Rhinolophus ferrumequinum: one gene and its partners. The protein of the gene in region 1 binds, or shares a complex with, the protein of each later gene. Links are inferred from orthologs where the notes say so. Each region holds a gene or a part of one and is shown in the gene's direction. Other genes may lie near its edges. The genes, in order: THOC1, THOC5, THOC6 and THOC3.

Region 1 (6,988 bases):
TGAATTATGCTCATCTGTGTGGTCCAACCAAGCTCACCAAACAAGATTTTACCAGGTATACTAGATAATTATATACACAGTACTTAACGATTTAATAAAATAATCATACTGCATATATAATCCAATATTGTACTTGTGACTGGCAGATAACAGGCACTCAATAAATATGTGATGAATGAATAATACACTAATACAAAATGCTTGAAAGTTGCCACCACTGTGGCAAAAATACAGCACCCCTAGTTTTTATGGGTGCTGTAATTCCTCTTTTTCCACAACAATATTCACAAAGTGCCATCCCTCTTCTACTATTCTTCTTCCCAATTCCATTCCTTTCCCAACAATGATGTCTCATTCTTTTTGCTCATCTTTGCCACTGAAACATCCATTCCCTGTCAATATTATTCTTTCAATCCACTCAAATTACAGAGAGAAAGAAAGGGAAAGATGGCTAAGGCCCAGAACCGGAACCAGCAGAAACTGCAATCTAACATCCTAATGTGGTTGACTAGTGAGCGTGGAGCCAAAAGTTTCCTTTTGCCAGGACTAGAGGATAAAGACTAGAACAAAAGCAGACTAAGCTGCCCCCTTGGTCCTTTTCTCCTAGATCTAACCACTTCAATGGTAACTTGAATCCAACTAAGATCACACCAAGGAAAAGAAGAGGAATAAAGAGCTGAATACTTAGAAATTATCTAAATCACCCAGCCTAGAATTTCCCATGGAGAGTATTTCCTAACAGAGAGGCAGGTCCATCTTACCTCACTAGCATAAGAGGAAAAACAAGTGCACAATAAATCTAAGTGAAAAGGTAACATGTTACGGGATGTCACCTTTTGAGTGTTATTATTACATTCTTTTAAAAAACTCATAATGTGTTATTGATGACAGTATGATCCTCACTCTTAGCCAACAGCAAGGCAATAATTTTTGAAACAATAACTAACCCCATGGGTTAGTAAAGAATCAAGAGTTAAGACCTGAGAAAAATACAGGCTTTGGGATTAAAGCCAGGCTCAAATCTCAAACAAGCTTCTAGTCATGTGACAGATGAGCCTGTTTCCTCACTGATAAATAACTATGTATAATGTTGTTCTAAGGAGTAGAAGTAATACAAGAAAAGCGTCTGGCTCATAGAAGGTGCTCAATAAAACGTAAGCATTACTTACAACAGTATAACAGTGTAAAGAGTACAATATTTGGAATCGAAATCCCGGGTAGTCTCATTTTGCCAATTACTTTTATCAAGAACCCCATCTCTTTGAGTTTGCTTCCTTATGTGTAAAATGGCATAACAGTTGTATTACCCACCTTCAAATATCACTTAGAGGAGCAAATGAGGTACTAAATGTTAAGTGCTTTGGGGATTATAAAGTATTAATTAAAGTGATCTACATGTTAAAATGTTTTTACTGTAGTGATTTTTGATGGATAAATTTAGTATTTTACCCATTTTTAACTATCTTTAAGTGTACAATTCAGTGGTACTAAGTACATTCACGTTGTTTTGCAACCATCAACACTATCCATCTCCAGCACTTTTTCATCATCCCAATCTGAAATCTGTACCCATTAAACAGTAACACCTCATTATTCTCTGAAGATTGTTACTTTTTTTCCTACTGTTTCTTTATCTGGTGTTTCAGCACTCAGCAGCAAAGCAGTTCATTTCTCTCCTTCCTCCCAAATATACTGCCAGCTATAACTTGGCAGGAAGTGTAAAAGCCATTTTTAAACATTCTTTGGCCTCAAACATTAATACAATCTGGTTCCAACTTGACTGTTCAGCCTTATTTCTGTTCAGAATCCAATGTTACAGTAAAACAGTTATCTTTCACTATGCTTTCTCCCTTCCACACTTCTGCTAATACCAGTCTCTCCATTGGGAATATCTTTCCTTTTCATCCCTTCCCATTCCTGTCTATTGGAATCCTTCTGGGTCCAGCTCATATTCTATCTTCTCCTTGAGGGCTCTATGATCACCTCATATGGTAGCAATTGCTTTCTCCTTTAATCTCTTACAGCAGTTATAATCGAAAGTATTTATAATAGAAATTGTATGTACACTGTAATTGTTTGTTTCTTTTATGTCAACCAAACTAAAAGTTTCTCAAAATAGGAATTAGGCTTCACTATTTTGTTCATTTGTTCATATATCATTCTTTCAACAGATACTGTGTATTGTGTATAATGTACTCAACAAATGTTTGCTGACTTTTTTGCTGAATAAAGAGAATTCTAAGTCACTGGGCTTTGATGGATGAGTCCAGCTCTTCTTATGATTGGTGTTTTGTAAAAAATAACTGCATTTCTTTCTTGGTTCTTAGTTGTGTTCTTGATAGTTAATAATCTTCTGTAATATAATAATCCTATTAATCAGCTACCTGTTAAATCAGTTAATACCAGTTTAATTTGCCAATTTTGAGACTTGTTATACCATCAAACCTGAATGATTCTGTTGATTCTAAAAAAAGACAACAGTGCTCCAGCCATCACTGTTCACAATTCCCACTTACAGGCAACACTATGCAAAGTTATCTTTTTGTTGGCTTCCTACATTCTCTTTGAATGTCAATGAAGGGAACAAGGTAAAGCACACCTAGCTTTCATCATTAGGTTACACGTGGAAACGAAGAAGAGTTGGCAGGAAGTTTGTGTTTGGGTCAATGCATAACTTCCTTCCCCACAGCATCATTCCAACTAAGAAAGTTACTTCTACTTGGCTTTTCATCGGCCAAGCCTCTCCAGTGAAAGGAGACAAGGGAGGAAACTGCCGAGGACGCAGGATTTTGCCAGGGGTGCCTCTACCCTGGAGGCAGTGCCACCCATTTTACTATCAGCGCCAAACACTGCATTCCTCCAAGGTCTTTCTCCTTCTGTAGAGACCTATATATGGCCACCAAGTTAACAATTCCAAGATATAACAATAAGTCTTATATGGCTACGTATGCCACACTTGCATTTATTTCATTCACGCTTTCCAACAGCACTGTGACAGATATACCATATTTTGCCGTGTATAATGTGCACTTTTCCCCAAAAATTTGTGAGGTAAAAATAAGGACGTGCAATATACATGGGTAGTACTAATTCCGTATCTATATGTTTTTAATTCATTTATGCTTATGAGTTGGAAGTGTTGTAACTCTAGAAATCAATAACGATATCCATATGCAAAATAATACCCTGGAATACGATAATCAGTTTTGTTGAACTTAAGATGAACTTGCAACGACCAAGAGTTCTTGGCCTTCTGTGATACATAAATATGGTAAATTTGTTACCGGTACATAAAATTTCTCGTACCTTGTATCTGTTCTTATTTTTTGTAATTATTTGTTACATAAAATTTCTTATACCATAATGTTAAAAATATAAATGCTAAAATTCCTTTATAATACAAAAAACAAGTACCTAAATGTGAACAAATAACAATTTGAATTAAAAAATGTAAACGAAAGATTTTTTTTCCCTGAAAGTTTGGGCCAAAAACGTGGGTGCACATTATACACAGGAGCACACGGCAAAATACGAAAGTACTGATTCTATTTCACAGAAGGGTGAACTACTGCTGCTACAAGGCCTATGAACTACAGAGCTGATACAGAAATCGGGAGCTGAGACTACTCCTTCCTGGAGCATGACCGCGGTCCGCGACCCACCGCCACTGCCAACACTTCCCCAGCCTGGTGCTTTCCTAGATAACCTCCTTGTCCTGGATTCTCGGGCAGCGGTTACCTTCCCGCATCGCCCGTTAAGCTACCTAGGGCTTCCCCAAACCCGGAAAACCACGGCGGTGCGCGTCAGGACCTATTTCCCGCCCTGCAGCGCAGAGCTCACAGGGCGCGGCCCCGCCCTTATGCCGTCACCCCAAAGGTTACCCACGAACCGGGACAGGGCATTGTGTGGTTGACTCTGGCTTCCAACGCCCACCTGACCTCCACAGAAGCTCCTAATTGCCAGCCGCCCCTCCCCTTTGCTCACACGCCGCTCCAGCAGCGTACGCAGCCGGTAATCTCTTTGCTCCCGGCTTGACGTCATCGGCCTGCGCCGCAGCGCGGTGGCGGGCACGCGCAGCCAAGATGTCTCCGACACCGCCACTCTTCAGTTTACCCGAAGCGCGGACGCGGTTTACGGTGAGCAGAAAGCGGGAGGGTGCAAGCCTGACCCGGCGCTTCTCTTTGCCCTCCTCTCTAATTACTGGACTTTTGCTCTGAGGTAAAGCGGAGACAGAGGTGCGTAAGCCGCAGCGTTGGCTCCCGGCCGCTTCGGGGGTTGGGAGGTGGAAAAGACGCTGTACCTGCCTCATCCGCGCATCCTCTGCGGTCCGCCTCCTCCATTCCGCGTTCTGGTCGCCGGCATGAAGGGCTCATCTTCAGACTCTCTCTCGTCCGGTCCAGCTCCTCTGCAGCGCTCGCTTAGCCGGGCAGGTGTCTCCAGAACTGGAAGCGAGCTGGGGAAAGAGGAGGGCGGGAGTGGTTTTAGCCCAGAGGACTGGCTCCCGCCCCGCCTCCTAGTTGCCAGGTGGTTTGTTCCGGCTGCCTATTCACCGTACCTGTAACCCTCAGTGTCTCACTCCTAAGAGATCCTAAGTGGGAAAAGACAAACAGAGCAGTTTGAAAAGGGTTGTCAGATGTCATTTATTCCTACATATTGGAGAAGAGTAGCTTTAGCATTTGAGAAACACCTTACAGAGCGTTTTCATGTTTAAGTCTTAGCATTGTGAAGTAGGCTAGGTTTTATTATCCCCTCGTAGATGAGAAAGAAATGAGACACACGCCCCTGAAAAGTTAAGTGATTTACTAAACTGTTTTTTTTCTGACTTCAAAGCCAGTATTCTTTTTTTGTTACCCATACAGCACCCAGCACAAAGAACCCCTGTTCTAAGTTATTTGACTGTTATTTGTCTTTAGCATTTGTGCCAATGTTTCAAGTCATCATTCAGCTACTCACATATTTAACTGCCTACATAGTTATAGTGATGCCAGAATGAAAATTCTGTGAAAGAAAATTGATTCTTTGTAGTAAGTAGTTTTTTGTGTGCAGGTTATTTTTTTCCTCATAGAATATTGAGTTTGTTTTTCTAATACCAGATTATATCTAGTTTATGTTATCAGAATGATTTTCTTTCTGGGCATTTTGCTGTAATACTGGTGCTTTGAAATTCTAAGAGTAATTGTTAGGACAATCCAAGATCACATTAATCCTGGAAAGGGCCATTTAATTGGAGATCATCTAGTCTGCTGCTTCTCCAGCTTCAGTGTGTGGTGGATCACCTGGAGATCTTGTTGAATGTAAATTCTGATTCAGTAGGCTTGGAATGGGATGTGAGATTTTGCGTTTCTGTCAAGTTCCCAGGTAATTCCACTGCTGCTACTGGTAGTAAGGATCTACAACAACCCTTTATTTAACTGGTGAGGAAAATGAAGCATTAAGGGGTTTGCCCAGATTGACACAGCCTATTTTTGGCAGAGTCAGGAATGGACATTTCCATCTAACTCCTGTGAGGTAATAAGATGACTGTTCGAATCATATGTGAATTTTCACAGAATGAATTGACTTTTCAGTATTTTTGTCTTTCAATTATGACTAAGACAATCGGCAGGTATTTGTTCAGTTTACTATGTGTGAGGGACTATGCTGAACAAGCTAAGCTATCTCACTCAAGGAAGTCTGACTTGAGATGAGTCCTGAAGAATGGATAAAATTTGCATAAGCAGGTGGGAAGAACAACATGAATGTGTAAATACACTAGAGTGTACTTGATAGAAAAATAGGGAAAAAATGGCTTGACCTTAGTGGAGAGTATGTGTTAGAGGGTAGTGGGTAATAAGGTTGGATAGATTGAGTGGGATAACCTTCTCAAGGACCTTGAGAAGGAGCTATCAGACTTCAAAACCAACGTCTGTAAATGAGGAGCCATTTGGAGACTTTTTTTTAAAAGCAGAATACTCTCATGACTATGATATTTAAAGAGATGGTAGGAGGGAAAAATTGGAATGAGAAAGTCTAGCTAGGAAATTCTTTCCAGGTTTAACATGATGAGAGTCTATATGTCAGTAAGTGGCATTTGAATAAAAACTACCGATAGAATGACTGATGGATAATTTTTCCCGGTTATAAACATTTTTAGATTTAATGAGTTATATGTTTTTCAGTAATTAATAAGCAAAAATCTTTCCACTTACTTGCTATATTTATTTTTCTAGAAGTCTACCAGAGAGGCCTTGAACAACAAAAATATCAAACCATTGTTGAATACCTTCACCCAGTTACCTGGCAGGTAAGGCATTAGTATCCATGAAACATGCTTGCCTGAATCTTTATACTTACCCTGAGCTGTTTAAAAAATGGAGCTTGTCTTTTGTTTTCAATAGTGAAAATGAAAAAAAATGTACCCTTGACCAAGCTTTCAGAGGTGTTCTAGAAGAAGAAATTGTAAGTATGTTTTCCTTTATTGTTAAAATGTTGCTGGCAAATTAATAAATTCTGTTATTTTTTTAAATTGCTTTTATTCTTAGAATGAGTGTTTAAATATGATTTTCTAGCATGAGCTTGCTACTTTGCGAAAGCTGACTATATCATAGTATAGAAGTTATGTAATAATTAAGGATTTTGACAGCACGGATGCTAAATCATTAGAAGACTTTGTTTTACTAGATGAAGAGAACCCTCTCCAAGTGAAGAGTATAAGAACTCATACCTTTTCCAAGTTGATGTGAGGTGTTCCTGGGCAAGAACTAGAATTTGAAAATGGGCCCTCTCGCTTTATTATATAGACAGTGACACATTCTGTAGTTGCACAAAAGATCTAGTCCAGGGACATTCAACATGGAAACTAGGATTCCATGCTATCATTTTTTACAGTATGCATCCTTCTCATCAGCATTTAAAAAAAATAAATAGAGCCTATCCAACTTCAGTAGAGAAATTTAATCAAACGTGAAAAATCGATTTACCATTGGTCGGGCACCCGAATGAAAGGAGA
Region 2 (7,736 bases), on another chromosome or scaffold:
ATAGGGGAGCTCTACGTTGTGCACCATCTCTGGGGTAGGCTGGGGACCCTTCAGGAGCCCTCTGCTGGTCCCCTTTCTCCATTGTCACTCTGCATAGACAATGCAAATACATTAGTGCCCTTGTGCAGCTTATATTCTAGCAGAGGGACACAGCACCTCAGACGTAAGCTGACAAAAAAGATAATTTCAGATTATTACAAATAAGAGAGAGAGAGAGAGAGATGATGATGATGATGAAGAAAAGCATGGGAACCTGCATTGGCTAGAATAGACAAAGAAGGCCTCTCTGAGGAGGTAAAAATGTAAGCCCAGCTAAAGAATGAGAAAGAACCAGCTGTGAATTGCTAGGGAAGGGCATTCCAAGGGCCTTTGCATGGAGGGAACAACACGTGCAAAGGCCCTGCAATGGGGAAAGGCCTTCAGGGTTTTGAGGAGTGCAAACGAGCCCTGTGTGGAAAGAGTGGGGAAGAGTGTGAGGTCAGGCTGGGCCTTGCAGGCTATGGGGACGAGGTGGGATTTATTCTAAGTGCAATGGGAGGCTGCTGCAGCATTTTAAGCAGCATGACATGACCTATAGTATGTTCTAATATGACTTCTCTGGCTGCCATGTGCTTTGCTGAGAGCATTTTGCAGGGAAGTATTTTGCAGAGAGGCACTGGGGCATCAAGAGACGGTTACACTACTTCAGGCAGGAGAGGTAGTGGCCTAGCCTAAGGTGGTGGCAATGAAATTGCTGAAAAGTCCACAAATTAATTAGTTCGGAGGTGGAATCAATGGGACTTCTGCATGAACTGTCTGTGTGGGGCAAGAAGAGGACTCCAGGACTCCCAGACTCCTGTTTGAGCAGCTGTATGTCGCTTACTGAGACCCTAAGAGGAGTAGGTTGGAGGGTTTAAGAGTGTAATTTTGACCCTCAAAAGTGTTATATTTGTGATGCTGACATACCCTGGTGGAGATGTTTAGTTGGCACCAGATACATGAGTATGGAGCCTGAGGGAGATTTCTGGCTGGAAATATAAATTTGGGAGTTGTAAACAAATGTACTGATCGAATGAGATTGTCAAGGCAGACAGTGTTTGCTAACAGTCCAAGGCATTGTGGAGGAAGAGACAGCAGGACAGGGAGAAGGGCCGTGGGAGGGGGGCCCTGTGCTGGGTCCAGGGTCAGATCCTCTGCCCAAAGAATGAAACAATGCCTTTCCTACAGCCTATAAAGATCTGCAGTCTCGGGAGGAAACTAGAAATGCTGCCTGGAGGAAGAGGGGCTGGGATGAAAATGTCTACTACACCGGTGAGCAAGCACCTCTGGGGGCTTCGTGAGGCCCTTGGAGGTCATCTGCAGGAGCCCTAACTGAGGTTGGAATCTCCTCTGCAAGGAGAGCTAGCCTCACTTGATTACCTTTAGTGATGAGGAACTTTCTTTTAATAAAATGAGTTAGTGGGTTTCTATCGGGGTGGCACACGCCACATGATCCAGAGTCCCTAAGTGAGTGCTGTGGGGGATGACAACACCACCGGGAGGTCCCTGCCTCAGAGAAGCAGGGTAGTGAGCGAGCACTGTGACCTCAGGCTTGGTTCACCTCACAGAGGCTGTTTCCTTATCTGTAAGATGGCGAGAGTGCCTGCCTTGGATGGCTGGAGGAAGGATTCCAGGAGCTAATTTGTGAAAAGTGCTGAACTTCGCCCAGACTGACACAAAGGAAGCATACAGCAAATTTTTTCGAGCCAGTTCTTTTGCTTACAGCGTTTGCCACTTTGCTGGGCCCCCTGAGAACCAGCTGGAGTCAGCAGGTGTTGACTGAGCCCTCACTGTGTGCCAGGGACTATGGTGGACAGGTGGCTGGGGGGCCCAGCATGAACAGGAGCCTATGCCTGCCCTTAAGGAGCTTACATCTGGGCTGCCACACTTAACTGGTGTAGGGGAGAATGCGTCTCCTGAAGTTTACCGGAGGCTCTTCAAAGTGTGGTCCCAAATGATGGTAGTGTCAGCATCCCTGGGACCTTTAGAAATGCTGAATCTCTATCGCTTCTCGGCCTTTTGGCTAAGATCAAGTGTAGAAATGCTGAATCTCAAGCCCTTCCTCCGCCCACTGAATTAGAATCTGTGCTTTAACAAGAACTATAAGTATTAATCACTTGCATGCACAATAAAGTTTGAATAGCTCTGAGCAGGAGGGAACAGTCTGACCTCCTGGGTGACCTTGGGTTGACCGGCTCTGGGCTGAAGGCTCCCCATCTGTAAAATGAGGCAGTTGGACTAAATCTGCTTGTTTCATACCTCAGCCACTTGAGGACCCGCTGACAGCTTTTGTTCTACCCGTATACGACTGCCACAGTTATTTTCTTTAAGTCCCCCTACTTGACTCTCTAACTAGCTTTGTCATGAGCAGTAGTATCTGAAATCACTTTTTATTATGCTAGGTTTTTTTTTCTTCACATATACAGGAAAATAGATAATTATGAAAATTTTCTAAGTGTTGCATTTTATCACCACCTAAGTCCCCTCTCCTTTCAGTTTGGAAGACCTGGTACTCTCCATGGGCCATTTAGGAGGGCATTGGGGCTTTTCCTGTCTCAGCATCTCAGGCCTCTTCCCCCTTCAAAAGCCAGTTTCGGGAGTTGGCTCGCCTCAGCCTCATCCGTGACCTCTGCCTCTCTCCACAGTCCCGTTGGTGCGACACATGGAGTCTCGGATCATGATTCCTTTGAAGATCTCACCTCTCCAGTGATGCTGCTGTTGGCTCCACCTCTTTCCCCTTCTCCCTCAGGGCAGCCATGGACAGAGGAGCTCCCAGGCCAGCTGCCTTGTTTTCTCTCGGATTTGGGAGGACTCGGGGGGCTAGTGTTCAGCTCAGAAAAGGGGGAGCTGAAGGATGACAGGGTTCTGAGGATTTGCAGCTCTGCCCAGACAGTTCCCACATTCCCCAGCACTCCTTCCCCTGGGCGGGAAGCAGTTTTTAATTCCTTTGAATGAAGAACAACAACCTTTTATGTCTTCTCACATCTTCCTTAAGATTCCTCATCTCAAGGCCACCAGTCAGTCCCCAGTTAGCACCACAGAATCCCTCAGTTTAGCTTTAGTTGCACAAAAGGTAGTGTGTCCAGGGATTAGAGCTTGGGTGGGAAGGGAAGAGGTCAAAGCAGGCCAGGTGCTCAGGCATTGCTTGGTCTCCACTGGGCCACATACTTGCTGGACAGTCTAAACCATGTCCCTCTTGCTGCGGAAAAGCCTAGAATTGCTTCAAGATATAAAGAGGGAAGCCTTCAAGTTAGCAAAGTCAGCAGGAGGTCCATATATTCCACCCAGAAAGGCTGGGGAAAGGGAGATGGAAGGAATCTGGGGGCAGGAAACAAAATGGAACAGGAACAAGAACCCAGAACTAGGAACCCAGAAAGTAGAACTTAGGATTCAGAACTAGGGTTTGAACTGCAGAACTTGGAATACATAATAGGGACGATAGAACAGAGGTGACAAAAGACCACTTGGGGAGGGGCTCCTAATACAAGACAGAGAGGCTCACCTGTTTCTACATAATGAGGCTGGAAACTTGAATATGTAGTTCCAGCCCTGTACAAAGCGTCTCCTGTCCTCCCTTTTCCTTCTTTCAGGCAAGGGTATGGGCCAGGGCCTATATTTCCCTCCCCCTGCATCCCTTTTCTCCCTCTTCACATTCTATCCATCCAACCCTCATTCTGCCGGGCTACTGGGTGTGTGAAGTGGGGTCAGTGACTTTGGAAGCCTCCTCCGTGACCCCCATACTTCATGAACCTCTGGGTAACTTGATTCTGCCTCCCTTTCAGGAAAACTTGTGCTGGAGTTCCTGATGGAAACAATTAAATGTTTACTATAAACCATCGTTGTTTTTTCTTCATCTGCAAGGAACTTTGGCAGGTGCCCAAGGCAGGGCCAGCTTCCCAGTTTGAACTGGCTAGTTTACCCCTCACTGCCCAGGGTACTATGGGGAGGGCCTCCCATCATGGCAGAAGGAACTGTCCTGTATAACCAGGGATTCAATACCAAGTGTTTCCACCTCCAGATAAGTAGGATTTACACCGTAAGTCCTGAACCCTCCCTGTATGCACAATTCTACCAGGGATAGAAAACACTGAAGCTGTCAAATGCTGCATTAGAGTTGTGACTCTGCCCTGGGCAAATCGGACGTAAAGTGGTAAACTAGTGATGCACCTGTGGGGGAAAAAGTGTTAAGGAGTTAATGCCCTCCCTGACGTGCTACCCTTACCAGTGGGAAATGTTAGGATGAATGTGTATGGTTTAAGAATCCAGGTTATATTGTCTAGTAGCAAACGAGTTAAACTAGCAAAATAAGCATCAAAATTAGAAACCTCCTGCCACCCAAAAAAGAAAATTCCAGGTATGGAAGCAAATCCACAAGGGTCCAAATCTTGGCACTACCACACTCTTGTGTTACGTTGGGCTTTAGTCAAACAACAAATAACGACAAAACATGTACTAGCTGCTGGGCATTACTTTAGGCGCTGGGGAAAAAGTGAACAAGGCACATAAGAATCTTTGTCCTTGAAGTCTCAGTTTCTTGGTTTTAGAGGGCAGTACGAGGGTGTTGGCAGTTGGGACCCTCCCCTAAAACCCAGGTGCCGCGGCCTCCTTGCTCCCACGTCACCAAGCCGCTGCCTGCACTGCACGCTGACTGCGGGCTTTGCGCTTCGCTTCCGGCCTCCGCGCCTCGCTTCCGGCCGGCCGCTCCTTCCTTCCGTTTCTCTATGGTGCGCGGCTCACAGTCTCTCCGCCCTGGGAAGTGGCTCGTTCTCCTGGACTGGTTTCGGGCGCCGTGGGGTGAGGAAGGGATCGGGACCGCGGCGGGGCGGGCAGGGGGGCTCTGGGATTGAGGTGTGGACAGCGCGGAAGGCGTCTTTGGGCTGGAGTCCAACCAGGGTTCTCCGTCCTCGGAGAACCAACCCCGGGGTTCCAGGCCGTTTCCTTCTGTGGAAAATGTCGCGGTAGCTGCAACATCGTCAGGCCCACGTTGTAGCCTCTAGATGATGGCGACGCGACGATGATGGTAATGGTGATAACAGTTGACATTCATTGTGCGCTTAGGTATGCCAGGCACTCTTTACTGTGTTGCCAAAGTCGGGATTTCCCACGTTTAAGCCTTTCGGCTTTCACCTTTGTGGGTTTGGCCATATCAACCAACCATGTAGGACTGTTTACTAAAGGTTTTTAATCGAGTCACTTTTAAAATTTGAATTTACTTCAAAAGAAAAATTGAAGTCTCTGCCGTAAATATAAAATTTCTTTCACTTGCCATATGCAGAAGGTAGTGACAAAAATCAATATGTTTAATAAAACAGATCATTGTTAATGATTCGGGCCCGATTTCAGTCTACAGCTCTGAGACAGTCCTTTTGTTAACAAAGGAATATTGGTGTTCATAGATGTTAAAGGTAAACTAGGGAGATGAGACAGTCTCCTTGAAGCAATCTGAAGTTTCTAAAAGTAATTGAAAAGGGATTAACTTTCTCCTCAGGTGTTCAACATTATGTAAGATCATCCATGTACCATCTAAAGCCCCGCTCCCAAATCATCTTCATCACCTTTCCCAGTGGAGGACATTCCTGTGTTAATGTCCATAACAACCCCTGAGGTAGGTAGGAACTGTTATTTATTATTTTATTTTTTTAAGGAAGGTGCAGCTCACAGGGGTCCATGCGGGGATCTAACTGGCAGCCTTGGTGTTATTAGCACCACGCTCTAACCAACTGATCTAAGGGGCCACCCCAGGAACTGTTATTCTTAATTGATCTGTGAGAAAACAGACCCAGAGAAAAGGGAAGTGACTTGACTTGTCCCGGGACTGATGGCCATAAACTAGGAGAGTGGAGATTCCAACTCAGGGCTTCTCTGACTCCACTACAATGAGCTATTGGCCTCCTCAATAATTGTTGGTGACAGGATTCATTGGGGTAAGGGGAATAGTGGGGCTATGGTGACAACCAGGAGAGGTAGTGGAAGGAGGATGCTTTATGACCCAAAGCTTCATGAAATGTTCTTTTAAATTTTAGGGTCAACCAGGGAGTTGATGGCATTGCCAGATGACATAGTGGCAAGACTAGGAAGCACAATAATGTGGTTCTCAAGAGCGCTGATGTGGCATTCGATGGACCCAAGCTTTAGCATACTAGCTGTTTGACCTTGGGCAAGTCATTCACCTTTCTGATCTCAGTGTTCTCATCTATAAAATGGTACTTGTTCTTATCTAAAAGGTTTGTTAAAAGGATCAAATGAGAACATACCCATAAAATGCTTAGATCAAGGTCCAGCACAGTTATCTATCAATAGTATTGGCAATGGGCTTACATGGCATCTGAATAGTTTGGTCCGTGAGGTGGTTCTTCTAAAGGAGGTGGAGGTTGAGAAGATGAGGTCACTTTGGATAGCCTGAGGGATTGAACTGAGCCTTTGGAGCGTTGAGCTACTTTTCTTGAGTTACCAAGGGTGTAAATGGCAAGAACTGAAAGTTAGACACAAGTATTCTGACTTCAGGAAAATTTCCAGTTCCAACTCTGGAAAATATCGAAAGATATCTCCTTAACAGGTTTCTGTTGTTTCTGCCTGACCTCACTAAACAAGCATGTCATCAGAATCGAGCAAAAAACGGAAGCCCAAAGTGATCCGAAGTGATGGAGCTCCATCGGAAGGGAAGCGTAGTCGTTCTGACACTGAGCAGGTGAGATCAGCCGGGGCTGCCGTGCTGCTGAGAAATTGCAGCTTGTGGCCAAGCACCTGGCTGTGGGTTTACAGCAGCTGAGGGTCACAGGGACAGCCTCCAAGGTGGCCTCTGCTTAACCGGGTGCCCAGAATTCACTTGGCTCTACAAAGTAGCCACATCAAGTTTAGCTGCAGCATCCCGAGAACCAACAAGCCTATATACGTGATTAGTGCCTGAACAGAGAATTCATGCTAGTATGGTGTGTGTCTCCAATGTTCCTGGTGGTCAGAAGAAGGCAGTCCATCTGCAGCATGCCACTGGAGCTTTGGCATCGCTGTCTGCTACTGAGACAGTGCCAGAACCACATGCCCGCAAACCCTCTTCTGCGGCCTGAGGGCTCCTGTACTCAGTAGGTTCTTCTCCTTTGCTATTTCTTTATCCTTGAATCTGTCGAGCTCATTTATGACTTAACTATTTAATTATTTGATGGGTTATATTTTTTGTTTGTTTTTAATACTAGAATAGAGAAATATATGGGCTAAAATTTAAGTAGGAAATGATACTTGCCTCAGATTTACGAAATCAAGATTAATGAAGGGCCTCATCCTTTTGGGGGCAATGATTCTGACTCTTTTTTAATTGAGGTGTAATTGGCATAACATTATGTTAGTTTCAGGTGCACAATAAAATGATTCACTATTTGATATATTGCAAAATGATTGCAATAAGTCTAGTTAGCACCCATCACCATACATAGTTACAAAAAAATTTCTTGTAATGAGAACTTTTAAGATCTAGTCTCTTAGTAGCTTTCAAATATGCAATACAGTATTATTAACTAGTTGACTGTATTAAAGAGATGTTCTGTTTACTCCAAACGCTAGGAGAGTAATAATATTTCAGTCTCTGTTGAAGCTTGATTTGACCATCTAAACACCCAATTTCGGTTAAATTAATTCTGGTTTATTTAACAGGCTATCTGTCATGCAGCCATTTTGATAGAGAGCTATATTTATTGTGATGGGAAAGTATACTAAATAGCATGGAC
Region 3 (7,949 bases), on another chromosome or scaffold:
GAGGGGCGCCCGCCCCAGAGAGCAGCTCAGGTGGGGGAGGGGAGCCCAGGTTTCGGTGCCTTTGTCCCAGGGGAGGGAAGGAGGAGCATTTAACCCTTCTCGAGTCGCAGGACTCGATCTGCTCGTCGGCTTCCGTGCAGCCCCGCGCCCGAGGGTTGGTCGGCCGGGTGGCGGTAGCCAGATCAGTCCAAGTTCTCCAGCAGGCCACACCCCCAGCACCCCGCTCCTGGAGGCACCCATCTCCTCCCTCACCCCGACACGCACACTGGCCCCAGGCTCACCTGCGAAGGAAGGAGTCCGCGGAGATTCCTAAGAGACGGCGGAGTGCGGGGATGGGGCGGAGGCAGGGTCTTAAAGAGGCAGTGACGTCACTGGACCACCGCCCCGGGGAGGGGCAGAGACCCCATTCCAGACCACCGCGGGAGCGCGAATCCCAACTTTGTCAGTCGGGGGCGCTCGAGATTGGGGCTGCAGGGTCTGCAGCTGGCCCGGGTGCGAGGACATCAGTGGCTGGCGTCGGGGCCCGCGGTAAGTCTAGGCGCAGGGCGTGGAGCTTGGGTCTCCGCTCCGCCACTTACTAGTCCTACTGCTGTGACCTCGGGAATTAACCTAACCTTCCCGAGCCTCAGTTTCATACTCTGCAAAATGGAGACAACAAGCCCGCATTTTACTAGGTAACTATGTCCTAAGGTAGAAATTAAACATCATTGTGTTACGTTTATTATTATACCCCGGGGCTCTTAAGAGAGCGGCAGTTATGTCTGCAATGGGTCAGTGGGTGGTTTCGTGTCTGATCCACCCACCCACACACTCACGCAGACATACACACACCTCCCGGACCTGAGCACCGAGAGGGCAGCCAGGACTGCGTCCTAGAAGATCGCGCACAAGGACGGTGTTTGCAGAGCGAACGATTGAACTTAGCGGGCCAGGCGGGGCGGGACGCCCAGGGGCGGGCCGCTGGGCGGGCCCAGACGAGGGGTCTGCCCCGGAAGGCGGGGGCGGGGGCGGGGCTGGGGCTGTAGGTCTCCGAGGCCAGCGGCGGTAGCAGAAGGCAGCGCCCGCGGGACGCTAACGATGGCTCCTGGCCTCCAGCGCCCGTTGCTGCGGCTCCTGGTGCTGTGGCTCGGGCTGGCGCTGCTGTGCGCTGTGGCGGGGGAGCGGGTGCCAGGTACGCCGGGCGACGAGCAGGGACTGGGCAGGAGGGCGTGGGGGCCGGGGAACCCTCGGCCGGGAATCGGGGAGTCGACTTGGGGGCTTAGCGGAGAGGGCAGAACTAGGGGGACATGGGATCCGGGGTCAGGTCTCCAGACAACGCACTCCCTGGTCAGGGGAGGTCCCATCTCGCTCCGAGCTTCATCCCGTCAGGGCTTCAATTTCCCGCCTGTCCAACTCGGGGAACCTCTCTGTCTTTAAAGTCTGGACTCGGAAGTGGAGAAAGTTTGAGGGCGGGATGTCTCGTCCGGTGAGGGGACATGCCCCCATCCTGGTCAATACCGGGTGTGCCCAGCCCCAGTGACCGAAGAGTCGGGAGGGGGTGTCGAGAGGCACGGGGGTCTGTGCCCCCATCACATGTGGGGTGCCCCCTTCCATCCGGTGACTTCAGTGCCCAGCTATGCGGGGGGAGGGACCGGGGTCGGGCCCGATGCCCAGGAATGAGTCACCCGCCAGCGGCGGGCGGGTTTGTGGGGACCTGACCTCCCGCGCTACGCCCCCCCTTCTCCCCCCACTCCCCGCGCAGCCGTGTCCCGGTCGGGCCGTGCGGTCACCTGTGAGGAATGCGGGAGGAGGGCGCCGGTGACTCACGTTATTCGAGCCTGCCGACCCTGACCTCAGCCCCCAGAATAGTCACGCCCCGCCCCCAGCTTCTGACCCGTGGCCCCCTCCTCAGGCACCACCCCCTGCTCTCGCGGCAGCTCCTGGAGTGCAGACCTCGACAAGTGCATGGACTGCGCGTCGTGCCCGGCGCGACCGCACAGCGACTTCTGCCTGGGCTGTGAGTGGGGGGCGGAGCCAGAGGCGAGAGGACCCCCAGACTGGGGGAGAGAGTTGCTGGGGTAGAGGGGAGTAGGGGACTTCAGATCGGGGGAATTAATGTGGAGGGGGGCGGGAGTGAGGGCCTCCAATCTGGGTAGAGGTCTTGGTAGGGGGGGACTCGTGGCTCAGATCTAGGGAGTGGGGCTGGTTCAGAGAGGAGCGAGGTCTGACTTCGAGTCCTATCCCCAGGCGCTGCGGCCCCTCCAGCCACCTTCCAGCTGTTGTGGCCCATCTTGGGGGGAGCCCTGAGCCTGGCCCTTGTGCTGGGACTCCTTTCCGGCTTCCTGGTCTGGAGACGGTGCCGCAGGAGAGAGAAGTTTACCAGTAAGTGTGCCCTGGCTCTCCTGCCTGCCTGCCCGCGTGCCCCCACCCCCCCACCCCATCAGTCCCCACCGTCCTCCCTGTTCTTGACGACCCCTCTTCTTATCTTGCAGCCCCCATAGAGGAGACCGGCGGGGAGGGCTGTCCCGGTGTGGCTCTGATCCAGTAACAATGAGCATCCCCTGCCAGCAGGAGGCCACGCCCACTCATCATTCATTCATTCATTCTGGAGCCAGACCCTGCCTCCCAGACACAGCCCTGAGCCAGGCTGCTCCAACCACAGGGGTGGGCAGGGATGAGGGACGGGTGAATCACTTCTGAGGCCTGGACCCAGACTTTAGAGGAGCCTTCATTCAAGGTGTCTGACTGCCCTGCCTCTGGCTCCAGGACAGAAAATGAGACCTAGGCTGGCTCACACCAGACAGCTGACACTAAGGAACTGCTACATTTGCACAAGGGTCCCCCCTCCCATGGCCTGGCAGCCAGTCTGACCTGACAGACAGACACAACACCAGGCCCTACCCACTCAGATGAGCTGAAATTCCAGCACTGGGGTCTCAGCCTGGGGGGTTAGGGACCTGTTCCTAACACTAGGGGGCTGGCCCTCTAGGGGGGCTGGCCCTAAGACACTGCCCCCCCAACCCTCAAAGGGGGGGAGATATTTATTTTGGGGAGAAAGGTTGGAGGGGGGAGAATTTATTAATAAAAGAATCTTTAACTTTAAATGGTTCGAAGAGTGGCATGATCCCCAGCCTGACTTCCCAGAGCTGGAGGGAGGAGTGAGTCAGCCGCGGGGGCGGGGGCGAGGCTCTGACTCACACATTCTCAATGTCTGAGCCTCGACTGCCAGGACCTGGCTAGGCCCTGACCGTTTTCCAGGGAAGATCTTGAGGAGAAACCCCACTATCCAGTGCCCCAGCTCTGCCCCCTCTTCCCAAAGGCCCTAGGTTCCAGACTGAAGACTTCCTCTGTTCAGCAATCTTTATTCAGTTCTGGGGGGGGGGGGCATGCCTCCATTCCCATGCTGTTGGCCCTCCCACCCCAGGGTTCTGTTGGGCTCAGTATCCTCTTTTGGGGGAAGGTTCTGGTGCCCAGAGGCCTGGTCTGGAGGAAAAGCAGGGCAGCTGGTCCCTTCATGGGGGTGTTGGTCTCCCCTACTGGAGAGAAGGAGGGTGGGCAGGGGTACTGTCTGCCAGAATTCAGAGCTCCATTACATCCCCAGCTGGGGTTGCAGGATAGTGGGGGGCAGGGGTGTCCCCCAGCCTCAGCATCCGTAGAGCCTCAGGGATCAGGTTTCCAGGGTATCGCCAGAGAAGGAGCTCAGAGCAAGGGCTCCTGGAAAAGGAAATGACAGGGCACAGGGTTGAGGCTGGCCTGGCAGAGCCACCCACCACCAGGTTCAGGTCCCCAGGGGCTACTGGGCTGCAGGCGCCTTCTAAGGAGCCAAGATGAGAACAGAGGTTGGCTAGAAACTAAAAATAGCAGGATGAGGCAGGCCCTGGAGGTTGGCTCTGATAGGGCGTGATTCTCCAGAGGGCCTAGCGGGTAGCTAGTGAATGGTGCCTACCTGAGTGGGGGAAGAGCTGGGGGGAAAACCATAGGGGGGCTGCAGTAAGGGTGGTCATTATGCAGGCTGAGTCGAGAGAAGTGAGTGGCCATGTTCTCCTCAGACAGGAACTGCTTGCGCAGGGGCTCCCTAGGGAGAGACCGGGAGGCAGGCAGGCTGATGGGGACCTGAGGTGACAGGTCTTGTTGGGAGTCCCTCCCTGCCCCTAAACTCACTGCTCCTTCTCCAGGCGCCGTTTGGTGCTCATGGGCACAGCTCCTTGGAGAGGGGGGCTGGGAAGAAAAAAGAACCAGGTGCACCCCACCCTCTTGACCCCAACCCTAAGATCTGCCGGCCTGAGCCTGCAACGTCAGCCAGGAACCCCCACCCAATCCCTCTCAGTTGACACTTAAATCACCCCCACTCTCCCGGGCCATTCAGCAGCTTGCCTCGTTAGTCTCCAAACTCGTCTCAGCTCATGCCCAAACTCTGCTGATTCGCCCCATCGCGTCATCCTGCAGACCAGCCCTGAGCCCCAAGCCAAAGCTCCAGCGCCCCTGGGCCAGGCCCACCCAGGGCCCACACACACACCTCGCGTCCAGGCCTCGAGGCGCCCCCAAGGCGACCCGCGGGTCACGCTGGGCCCGACCTGGGGGGCCTCGCTCCAGAGGCTGCTGAAGGATCATTGGGGTTCGGGGTCCTGCGGGCGGAGGGGTGGGATCCGGACGACAGGCGGAGCCTCCGAGGGCGTGGCCCAACGCGGGAGGCGTGGCTTTAGGCGCGCGCAGCAGCAAGATTCACGCAGGCGCGAAAGACGGACGGCGAGCGGCTGGAAGGCGGGCCCATTCGCCGGGTGGGGGAGGGGATCTGGAGTAGCGGGGCTGCGGTGGGAGCCACTTGGTGTCGGAGATTTTCACGGCGGTCACTGCGGCTCTTGGGACTCTGGTGGTACGCGGCGGCCGCCTTCGCGCCGAGCCGGCTGGCGGTATTGACCGGGTGAAGCTCAGTGACGGTGAGCCGCTTTGGGGCACGTCCGGACTCGTGAGTTTGCGTTGCGTGCGGAGCAGTCTGGGACTTGTAGTTCTGCAGATGGAGCGAGCTCTGCCCCACGCGGTGCCGCTGGGTCAGGTGAGACCGGCGTGTGCGCGGTGCCTTCTGGGGTTTGTGGTCCATGCCCCACAGGGGCCTAACGTGAAAGTCAGAGAGTAGTAATTAGAAGGCAATATGTTTTTCTGTATTGGGGTAATAGAGCCACTGTTTATGCGTTTTGTAGGAGGCATCACTGTGTGAAGCTCTTTATATACAGTAGTTCATCCAGTCATGACAGAATGTCCTGTGAGCTTCATTTGACAGTTGAGGGAACTTTGAGGAGAGGTTGGGTGTGTTATGCAGGGTGTCATGCGGGGTCTCTGGTCCCCCTCCCCTCATAAGAACGCAGGACATGGTGAGGCCAAAAAGGAACACCCACGGAGCCATAGATAGGGGAGTCATACTACCATAGTCTCGCTGGCGAATGGGTTGGAGACACAGGAAACAGGATCCACACGATCTGCAACCTGCTGTCCGCTTCTCTCTCTCTCTCTGCCAACCAACCAACCACAATTGCTGGCTGCAATCTGCCCTACTAACTGCAATTCGCCGTGCCAACTGTAATCTGCGCTTGCTAGCTCAGCCACCATCTTCTTGCTAGCCCACATTTACTGCTAGCATAGCCACGGCAGTTATATTAGTGGCCAATGGCTCACTGGTTACAGCTGACGGCCAACTAGCCATAGCTGATGGCCATCCAGTCACAGTTGATGGCCATTTACTACCCGAGTGAGCACCTTTCCATGTGAGGGCGAGAGCCTGGAAACTGTACTCCTGGCTCTGTCCCCACAGGGTGCTTGCTCAAAGTCCTACTAGGCATCACGCCTCAACTCCCCTCTTCCTTACCTTTTCTTCGAGCCAGCCCCGGGACTGTATGGGCAGGTGCCCACCTTGGTGGACCTCAGAGGAGGGTGGAGAAGTCTGGGCAGTGGCTGAACTGGCGGCACGGAAACTAGGAAGGACTCTGTGAAGCAGAGGTCCCAGACTGCCTTCATCTAGTCTCTCCCCACAGATGGAAGTGTTTCAGGCCCTACAGCGGCTGCACATGACTATTTTCTCCCAGAGTGTCTCACCCTGTGGGAAGTTCCTGGCAGCTGGCAACAATTATGGGCAGATAGCCATCTTCAGGTACCCTCACCTCTGCTCCCCACAACCCATTAGCTCTGGCATTTGGCTCTCCCAGGACTGATGTCCCCTGTTTCTGACTCAGACCCTCTTCCCCTCTCCTTTCAGCTTGTCTGCTGCTTTGAGCTCCGAGGCCAAAGAGGAAAGTAAAAAGCCCGCAGTGACCTTCCAAGGTGGGTGCAGCCATTGAGTCTGGCTTAGAGGACCCCAGGGTAGAGGAGGAGAGCAGGACGGGGTCGCTCAGGTTCTGCATTTCCATTTAGCCCACGATGGGCCGGTCTACTGCATGGTCTCCACTGATCGACATATGTTCAGCGCTGGGGATGGGGAGGTGAAGGCCTGGCTGTGGGCAGAGATCCTCAAGAAGGTAAGAAGTGTCGAGCTGGAGGAGGGGTACTGGGGCATCCAACTCCAAAGAGAACCTCTGAGGTCACTCGTTGTTTTCCTCCATGAAGGGCTGCAAGGAGCTGTGGCATCGTCAGCCCCCATACAGGTGAGCCAGGGCCATGTGGACAGAGGGCACGTGGGGGTGGAGGTGCTGCCTCACCAGAGCTGACCCTGCTTTCCCTCCCCCAGGACCAGCCTGGAAGTACCAGAAATCAATGCTTTGCTTCTCATCCCCAAGGTCTGAACCCTTTGTAACTAAGTCTCTACCCTGCCCTGTTCTTGGCCCAAGCTGTGATCCTTCCCTGTCCCTGTCCTGATTTGACCCCACTCTGTCTTCCTCTGCAGGAGAATGCGCTTATCCTGGCAGGGGGAGACTGCCAGTTGCATATGATGGACCTTGAGACAGGGAGCTTCACGGTAAGAGGGCTGTGGAGCTGGGCAGTCACGGTGGGGTGGGGGAAGGCCTTCTTTCTGGATCTTGTCCTGACACTGTTCCTCTCCTGCAGAGGGCTCTCCGAGGCCACACAGACTATATCCACTGCCTGGCACTGCGGGAGCGGAGCCCCGAGGTGCTGTCAGGTGGCGAGGACGGGGCTGTGCGGCTTTGGGGTAAGGGACTCTGGTTAGAGGGAAAGATGGTGGTGAGGGAGGCTGGGGGAAGTAGGCTGCCTCTCATGGTTCTTCCCCCACAGATCTCCGCTCGGCCAAGGAGGTCCAGACGATCGAGGTCTACAAGCACGAGGTGAGGGCATGTCCCATGCCTGTCCTGCCTTCTCCCTGGGCATCTTCTGCATCTTCACCTCCTCTGCTCTTCCCCTCCTCCCTCTCAGGAGTGCTCGAGGCCCCACAATGGGCGCTGGATTGGATGTTTGGCAACTGACTCAGACTGGATGGTGAGCCAGGCAAAGTGCAGGATGGGGTGGCAGCTGCAGGCCCTACCAGCTGAGGGCCTGTGGCTTAGGAGGCTGGGGACCCCACCTTTCTGCCCAGGTTTGTGGAGGGGGCCCAGCACTCACCCTCTGGCACCTCCGTTCCTCTACACCCACCACCATCTTCCCCATGCGGGCACCACAGAAGCACGTCACCTTCTACCAGGACCTGGTGAGTCTCTGTCTCCATTTTGCCACCCCTGCCTAGCTCCCCTCTCCAGCGCTGACCCCTCAATCCCCTCCCTGCCTTCCACAGATTCTGTCAGCCGGCCAGGGCCCGTGCGTCAACCAGTGGCAGCTGAGTGGGGAGCTTAAGGCGCAGGTGCCTGGCTCCTCCCCAGGGCTGCTCAGCCTTAGCCTCAACCAGCAGCCAGCAGCACCTGAGTGCAAGGTGGGTCCTGCGCGGAGCTGTGGGAGTCCTGGGAGGCCAGGGGTGTGTGGACAGGTCAGTCTCACACACATACACACACACACACCCTTGCCTCCAGGTGCTGACAGCTGCAGGCAACAGCTGC
Region 4 (6,956 bases), on another chromosome or scaffold:
CACAGAGATTGTGATCAGTAAGCAAGGGAAATTGTGATCATAAGCTAGCACAAATTTCAGGGTAATTATCTAAAGCAGGGAACGGGGCAGGGAACATTTCAAGCTCAAACCACAAGGAGGGGTATTTTCAATTGTTAAGCTCTAGGGCAAGGAGAGGCGAGGTCTCTTTTGTGGGGGTCCCAAGCGTAGATAACATCTTTTAAAATGTGTATACATTTTTTTGGCATGCCTGGTATAAATAAATACATATATAAAATTTATATGAAAGATTGTGAATTTGGCATGTGTTTTTACAAAGGTGCGATCATAGACTACATATATTCCTCAGTTACTATATACTTTCTTGCTTAGTTCATCAGGGCAACCCACCAGGTTTGTAACTACAGATACAACTTGATTTTTTAATAGCAACAGAGTTATCCGTAATATTGATATACACATTTATTCACTCTTCCTCCACTGATGGACATTCAAGTTGTTTTCAAGATTTTTGTCATTAGAAACAATGCCATCGTACAGATTCTCATAGATTCATCCTTAGATTATCAGGACTAGGGTCACTATATCAAGGGATATGTATGTTTTTTGTTTTTAATGTATAAGGCCACGTTACTTATTTTAAAAAGCTGTGTGTGGACCTCATTTGGATCTTGATTCAAACAAACTATAAAAAGAAGTATGACATTTATAAGACAATTGGAAATTTGAACACTGACTAGATATTTCATTACATTAAGGAATTTTTGTTATTTTTAAGATGTGATAATGGTAGAGATACATACTGAAATATTTATGAAAGAAATAATTTGCTTCAGAGAACTTTCTTGGAATAATCCAGCACAATCCAAATCCTGTGAGAAGCTTCCCCTTTGAGTCCTCTTGCTGAGGCCTGTACAACTCCTCTGGAGAACTTTCCTTTCTCCCTTACTGCAGCAAGGTGCATAAACCGAACTTTTCAAATACGGATGTGTTCCTGGAGGCCTTTGGTTGGTGGACTTGGAAGCAATCTTTTCAAAGTTTATTGTCCATTTGGATTTCCTCTTCCTTGGGACATTTTCCCAGTTCAGTGGGGCGTTCTGACATTTTCTCTTTTGTCTGAGAGTTGTCCCATTGTTTGCCTACCCCATTCTTCTCTAGGAGCCATATGTACTACTTCTTAGAAGAGGTCAAAGTTAAGGATTCTCGTTCAGGTTGGATCACCCTAGGTTTGATGGCATTAGCAAGAATTTTCAGGATCTTTTCCGCTCACCAGTAAGGCTACTGGGTGGTGAGGTTGAAGGTAGGAACTGAGCTAATTTGGATCTCTCTGTTTGCTCCAGACAAATCTGGTTATTTTCTTGGGCACCTGTCTAGTTTGGCTGATGTTCATGATGTGTGTGAGTGCGTGCGTGCGTGTGTGTGTGTGTGTGTAACATTTATTGCTCATCTCATTAGGTATTAAAGGAGAAAAGTCATCATCTTAACTCAGAAGTCTGATATTTATATTAGATTTTGTTTTATATATTTAGAAGCTCTGATATGAGACAAAATTTCAGTAACTCTTAATCGTTCTTTTATTGATATGAAATATCACTATTTGTCCATTTTAGTGCTTTTCATCTTGAATTCTACTGTTTGTTACATTAATATTGTAACATACATAACACAGTCTTTTGTTTGGTGTGCTGGGAAAATATTTTGATCTTTAAACCCGTGTGTTTTTACTCACTATGTAACCCTTTCTCAATTCAGATGACTAGACTGTGAGTCATTCTTTGCCTTAGAGGAGATCATCGCAATGGAACCAGAATACAAAAGAAGCAAATTCTTGGTTTGTGAATGTCAGAGCTGTAGCTCAGGTGTAAGACATTCTCAGCCAGTTTCTTCACCCTCAGAGGAGAGAAGCATCAAGTCACATTCTGTTTGCCCTGTTCTATTTCCTTAGGTGTTACTTCTCTCTTTTGTAATGTGTGGGGTTTCTCATTTCTGATGTTAGAATTTTCCTCAAACATTTTGTTATTCTTGGGTTGGGTGTTTTCACTTAATTTTTGAAGTTTCCTCGTTAGCCCACATGTGAGTGCTGGATTGGTTTATGGCATTTCATTGCCAGTGATTTCAGGAAAGTGCTTTGCTGCTGGATGGGCGGGGGGTGGTATGTTAGTGTCTAGTCTTCTGGAAATGGGGACAACCACAGTACATGTCATCTACTAGTTTGCTTCTCTGGTTGAATCCTGACTGACACACCACCTATATGTTGAGGCTTTGCCAAGGGTGATTTCTTTAGCACCAATAGCTTCTCCAAAGTCTCCCACCATCAAAGGACTTATATGTCAAATCCCCCTCCTTCCTTATCTACTCTTCCTTCACTGTGGGATGTCTCCCTCACCCCCTGAAAATTCCCTCACACATCCTGTTATTTCTGACATTATTATTTATGACCTGATTCTGCTGTGAGTGATCCTAAAGGTCCTAAGACTGCCATATGTAAAAACATCCTTCAGAGTTGCAGCAAAAATCAGCTCCTGCAACGTGGTAGGCGGGACTATAAAAATGGACTATAATGGGAGGGAAAACTAGACACCAAACAGTCTCCTACCCCAAGAATTTAGTGACTTCATTGGTATTCTGTGGAGTCTAAAAGGCTTTGAAGTCTCTAAGAATTTCTGGGTGTAGTGCGGTAGGGAAGAGAATTGGGAAAAGAAAAGGGGCTCATTTCCTTAGGCCCTTTGTGGAGCTATGCACGTGCTTTATATGTGGACTCATTTAGTATTTAGGACCTCATGACACTCCCCTAAGCTTCTGGTGGAAATGCAGATTGTTAGAACCTCTTCACAGGTTTGGCAATGTTCAAATAAAAAAGCGCATATGTGCACGATAAAGTTTGTATAGGGACATTCACTGCAGTATTGTTCTACAAGCAAATTCACGGGCACCAAATGTCCCTGAAGGGGACCAGTTGAATAATCAGTTGAATATGGATGTATAAATGATCATTAAAGACTCCATCCATTAAGAATGAGACTTCTGCATATACTGAGAAGAAATAATTTCTTACATGCATTTATCATAGAAAGCAAGCTATGTAAGGGACGCTACCGAACCATTTTTTTTTTTGTGGGGGGAAGGGTATGAACACACTGGTATACCACTTCCACTATCTCTGGAAGTGCACAAAATAATTTGACAATATTTTTCTCAAAGGGAATTTGGGGACACACGAGGGAGGGAAACTTACTTTTCACTCTATTCTTTTTTGTGCGTTTTACACTTGTTACCAAGTGTATGCGTCCTTAAATATTTTTTTAAACTTTTTGAGATAATCGCAAATTCACAAAAGATTTGCTTTTAAACAAATTTCCAGCCTCCTCCTCACCATCCAAAATCTCCCTCAGCCCACAGCCCTTCTCTAGCTGACAGCTCTCCATTGGTTTCTTCAGCTGGACGCTGCTGGACCTGTGGTTTAAGGTAGGGATGTGAATAAGGCCATTTACCTTTTTACTCTGTATCTTTCATATTTTTTGCATATATAATCATGTACCTATAGTATCTTTTAAAAGCAAAGAACTTGCTTATTTAAAAAAACCTCCGGACCCCTTCTCACACCCTGCTCCCCCCAACCCCCTAGCCTTTTACTTGGGACAAGCTCACCAGCTGGCCCTTCTCCAGCAAGAAGTCAAGGGCGTTGTGCTTTGAGGGCGACTGAGGGGTGGGCAGCAACCCTAGAAAAAAGTATTCTGCTGATGGGGAACTGAGGTTTAGAAGGATAGCGTTTGTTTCCGTCTTCGATCACGCAGGGACACAAATATAGCTACCAAGCAATAGGTAAAGGTTAACTATGAAGCAAATTTAAAGCCGAATCACTACTGTTCAAAAAAAGCAAAGGACGCAGCGCGCTGCATGCCGGGATTGGTGTTCCCTTTCCAGGTGGGCCATACTGCGGCTGCGCAGAAGAGCGACAGCTCTTCCGAGCGCATGCGTGCGGCGGCAGCGGCGGCGGCGGCAAGAGTGACTGCCGTGGGGTGGTGGCGCCCGCGCGGGCTCCAGGGGGCTCGGCATGGCGGTGCCCGCGGCGGCTATGGGGCCCTCGGCGCTGGGCCAGAGCGGTCCCGGCTCCTTGGCCCCCTGGTGCTCAGTGAGCAGCAGCCCGACGCGCTACGTGCTCGGGATGCAGGAGCTGTTTCGGGGCCACAGCAAGACGCGCGAGTTCCCGGCGCACAGCGCCAAGGTGCACTCGGTGGCCTGGAGCTGCGACGGGCGCCGCCTGGCCTCGGGGTCCTTCGACAAGACGGCCAGCGTCTTCTTGCTGGAGAAGGACCGGTTGGTGAGCTTTCAGGGCCTGGCCCAGGCCAGGGAGGGGGGGCTCTGGTGCAGCGGTGAGGCGAGAATGGCGGGGAGGGGAGGGGAGGGGAGGGGAGGGGAGGGGGGGGGGGGCGGAACGTGGGGGTGTCGGGATGAACGGGGTGTGGTGGAGAGGAGGAGGGGGTCGGTAAGGGGAAAGGGGGGATGTGTCGGGGGTGCAGTAGGAAGGCGTGAGGATGAGGGGGTGGAGGCGAGAGGGTTCCCACTGGTGGGGAGGAGGCTGAATGGGGCCGGGGTGCGTGGGGGTGGGAGGGGTCGGCAGGAAGGCTGCTGGTGGCTGGCGAGGCACCGTGTCCTGATGGGGGCGCTGTCGGGGTGACGAGGGCCCCTTTGACTCCGATGGGGCCTCCGGTGGGAATGAGCAGGGGCGTTCCTTGGTAGCGAGTCAAGGTGGAAAACCAGAGAGGAGGAGGAAGGCAGGGAGGGCAAAGAGGAAGGCGCGATGTGGCACCTAGTCTCAGTCAATGGAGAGCGATGGGGAGGGAGGAGGATATTGGGGAGAGTTTTGGGGAAGAGGCTTGGCAGGACTGGGCTTTTTAAAACTCTCCAAAGTTTTGTTGGTCTCCAGATACCTTGGTTTGAATAAAGTGAAGAAGTTTCACGTGGAGGCAGGTACATATGTGTGAAGGGACATCCGAACTCTGTTCTTTCAGGTTAAAGAAAACAATTATCGGGGACACGGGGATAGTGTGGACCAGCTTTGTTGGCATCCAAGTAATCCTGACCTCTTCGTCACTGCATCTGGAGACAAAACCATTCGCATCTGGGACGTGAGGACTACCAAATGCATTGCTACTGTGAACACAAAAGGTGACTTCAGAGGGAGGGCAGTAGGAAGATAAGCGACTTTCATGTATTCAACATTTTCCAAATAACTTTTCTGTGCCTGGCCTTGTGCTACGCATGGGACATCCTGAGCTGAAAAGACGGCACAGTTCAATGCTGGGAGAGACATATGCATAAAAAAAAAAAAAAGGCAACTAACCTAATCTGACATGGCTCATTGTATAATGGAAATGTCTACGAGGTGAATACCCAGAATGGAAGTGCTTAAGTCTTCCCTGGGGGAGACAGGGAAGGCCTCACAGAATTTGAGCAAACTCTTACAGTAGACAGAGGAATTTGGTGGTGGAGGTATGGTGGGAGGGTGGGGCAGCTCTAAGGAGGGAAGAGTGTGTGCAGAGGCGTGGAGAATTTGGAAAACTGCTGGTCAGCTAGAATGGCTGAAGCTTGGATGGTCCTGGTGGTCTGGGAGAAAATGACCTGAAAGTTGCGCGGGTTATTTATAGACTGTTCTTCATCAGATATGGTCCTGGAAACCTTGAGGTCATTTATTATATTATATTGTCTAAGATGTCATTGATTATAAGATGCACCAGTATTTTTAAGTGCAATTAGGAATGAAAAGAAAGCTTCCAAATAACCATGTATACCAAACATTCTGAGATGCATTTGATGCATTTTAAGATGCATTATAGATAATAAAATGTGAAAAAATATACATCTTAGAATCAGATAAGTTGGTGACATTTTTACTGGATGTGTTCAGTGTGGGCCACTGGACTTTGTTGACAAGACTTGTACCTGTAGGTGGAATGAAGCAGTGCTTTCCCCACGTATACAGTGGGTGATACATGAGTGATTTCGGTGGTATGTGGATGAACATTAAAAAATGGTTTTGTGTATGTTTTAATGTCTGTTAGAAAAAAAGAACCAGCTCATAGAATTTATTGCTAATGAAAGCTGAGTTTTCTGAGCCAATTTTTAAAAAGCTCTTCAATAAAGAAAAACATAGTTGTTACATGGATAGGACAAAATTTGTGAAAGTGGCATGTGAACGACCGGAGTTTGGGAAATGCTAGTGTTAAGAGAATAAATTTATGTTTAGCTCTTGGCTCTATTACTTCACAGCTTTGACAGTTTGGCTCATTGTTCTTATCTTCCGTTTCTTCACCTGTAAACTGGGGATAGTAAAGTGACAGTAGAATATTGTGAGGACCTCATGGGGAAATTTGCAGGTGAATGGCGGTTGCCTTCCCTGGACTACGATCTGAACGAAGGCGCTCTGGCGAGCTCTCTGGTCTTCCTTCAGGATAACATAAACTTCTGGAGGATTAGGGGCAAACAGGTCATTTTACTGATTCACCCGGTTTCCTAGGGGAGAACATTAATATCTGCTGGAGTCCCGACGGGCAGACCATTGCCGTGGGCAACAAGGATGACGTGGTGACCTTTATTGATGCCAAGACACACCGTTCCAAAGCGGAGGAGCAGTTCAAGTTTGAGGTCAATGAAATCTCCTGGAACAACGACAATAACATGTTTTTCCTGACAAATGGCAACGGTTGTATCAACATCCTCAGGTGAGGGGGTCCTCGCTTAGGGGACGGTCATATCTTTAACAGCTGGGTGTTCTGGTGGATACAGAGTGAATTAGATGTGAATCTGTCCTGAAAGCGTAAAGGACAAATGGTGACAAAGGATCCTGACCTCTGTTGAGCGCCTTTGAGTCAGGCACCTTACGTTTTCCTGGGTCCTCACAGAAATTCTAGGGGTGGATGGTGTGCTTTCCATTGGGTAGGTGAGGATCTGGGATTCACAGAAGTGGAGTCACTAGT

The links.
Region 2: the proteins of THOC1 (region 1) and THOC5 are in contact, whole or in part, in a cryo-EM structure (PDB 7APK), measured with the Homo sapiens proteins. The link is inferred for Rhinolophus ferrumequinum from reciprocal best matches to the Homo sapiens genes THOC1 and THOC5. Residues at the interface, in NP_005122.2 of Homo sapiens: Glu60, Arg145, Arg146, Leu147, Ser148, Ser150, Gln151, Lys285, Met286, Leu289, Val296, Tyr297, Phe298, Leu302, Ser304, Leu307, Leu310, Gln311, Ser313, Asp314; in NP_001002877.1 of Homo sapiens: Tyr52, Arg113, Lys120, Asp124, His127, Leu128, Gln131, Asn132, Leu134, Tyr135, Glu136, Met138, His139, Thr145, Lys146, Glu149.
Region 3: the proteins of THOC1 (region 1) and THOC6 are in contact, whole or in part, in a cryo-EM structure (PDB 7APK), measured with the Homo sapiens proteins. The link is inferred for Rhinolophus ferrumequinum from reciprocal best matches to the Homo sapiens genes THOC1 and THOC6. Residues at the interface, in NP_005122.2 of Homo sapiens: Ser227, Pro229, Ile230, Asp231, Tyr232, Leu234, Arg236, Val270, Ser273, Tyr274, Asp309, Leu312; in NP_001334633.1 of Homo sapiens: Leu57, Ser58, Ser59, Glu60, Pro312, Glu313, Lys315, Thr330, Asn331, Gly333, Tyr334, Ala336.
Region 4: THOC1 (region 1) and THOC3 share a complex: the UniProt entries of both Homo sapiens proteins name them as parts of the transcription/export (TREX) complex. The link is inferred for Rhinolophus ferrumequinum from reciprocal best matches to the Homo sapiens genes THOC1 and THOC3.

What each region holds. Positions count from the first base shown.
Region 1 is NC_046302.1:16,794,417-16,801,404, forward strand, and holds the start of THOC1 (THO complex subunit 1), read left to right. Parts: upstream 1-3,919; 5' UTR 3,920-4,082; coding exon 4,083-4,136; intron 4,137-6,209; coding exon 6,210-6,283; intron 6,284-6,377; coding exon 6,378-6,438; intron 6,439-6,988. UniProt on the Homo sapiens protein: Component of the THO subcomplex of the TREX complex which is thought to couple mRNA transcription, processing and nuclear export, and which specifically associates with spliced mRNA and not with unspliced pre-mRNA.
Region 2 is NC_046308.1:18,919,268-18,927,003, reverse strand, and holds the start of THOC5 (THO complex subunit 5 homolog), read left to right. Parts: upstream 1-4,674; 5' UTR 4,675-4,812; intron 4,813-4,818; exon of another isoform or gene 4,819-5,469; intron 5,470-5,506; 5' UTR 5,507-5,623; exon of another isoform or gene 5,624-5,627; intron 5,628-6,041; exon of another isoform or gene 6,042-6,175; intron 6,176-6,574; exon of another isoform or gene 6,575-6,609; 5' UTR 6,610-6,610; coding exon 6,611-6,706; intron 6,707-7,736. UniProt on the Homo sapiens protein: Component of the THO subcomplex of the TREX complex which is thought to couple mRNA transcription, processing and nuclear export, and which specifically associates with spliced mRNA and not with unspliced pre-mRNA.
Region 3 is NW_022680357.1:4,524,653-4,532,601, forward strand, and holds the start of THOC6 (THO complex subunit 6 homolog), read left to right. Parts: upstream 1-4,900; 5' UTR 4,901-4,993; coding exon 4,994-5,032; intron 5,033-6,005; coding exon 6,006-6,121; intron 6,122-6,226; coding exon 6,227-6,291; intron 6,292-6,381; coding exon 6,382-6,485; intron 6,486-6,573; coding exon 6,574-6,611; intron 6,612-6,694; coding exon 6,695-6,743; intron 6,744-6,850; coding exon 6,851-6,922; intron 6,923-7,011; coding exon 7,012-7,114; intron 7,115-7,197; coding exon 7,198-7,247; intron 7,248-7,335; coding exon 7,336-7,398; intron 7,399-7,495; coding exon 7,496-7,606; intron 7,607-7,690; coding exon 7,691-7,825; intron 7,826-7,922; coding exon 7,923-7,949. Other genes in the region: TNFRSF12A (tumor necrosis factor receptor superfamily member 12A), read left to right, coding at 1,078-1,171, 1,892-1,996, 2,227-2,361, 2,472-2,527; HCFC1R1 (host cell factor C1 regulator 1), read right to left, coding at 3,558-3,693, 3,926-4,054, 4,141-4,197, 4,496-4,590. UniProt on the Homo sapiens protein: Component of the THO subcomplex of the TREX complex which is thought to couple mRNA transcription, processing and nuclear export, and which specifically associates with spliced mRNA and not with unspliced pre-mRNA.
Region 4 is NC_046307.1:40,249,263-40,256,218, reverse strand, and holds the start of THOC3 (THO complex subunit 3), read left to right. Parts: upstream 1-3,938; 5' UTR 3,939-4,033; coding exon 4,034-4,300; intron 4,301-4,991; coding exon 4,992-5,148; intron 5,149-6,496; coding exon 6,497-6,701; intron 6,702-6,956. UniProt on the Homo sapiens protein: Component of the THO subcomplex of the TREX complex which is thought to couple mRNA transcription, processing and nuclear export, and which specifically associates with spliced mRNA and not with unspliced pre-mRNA.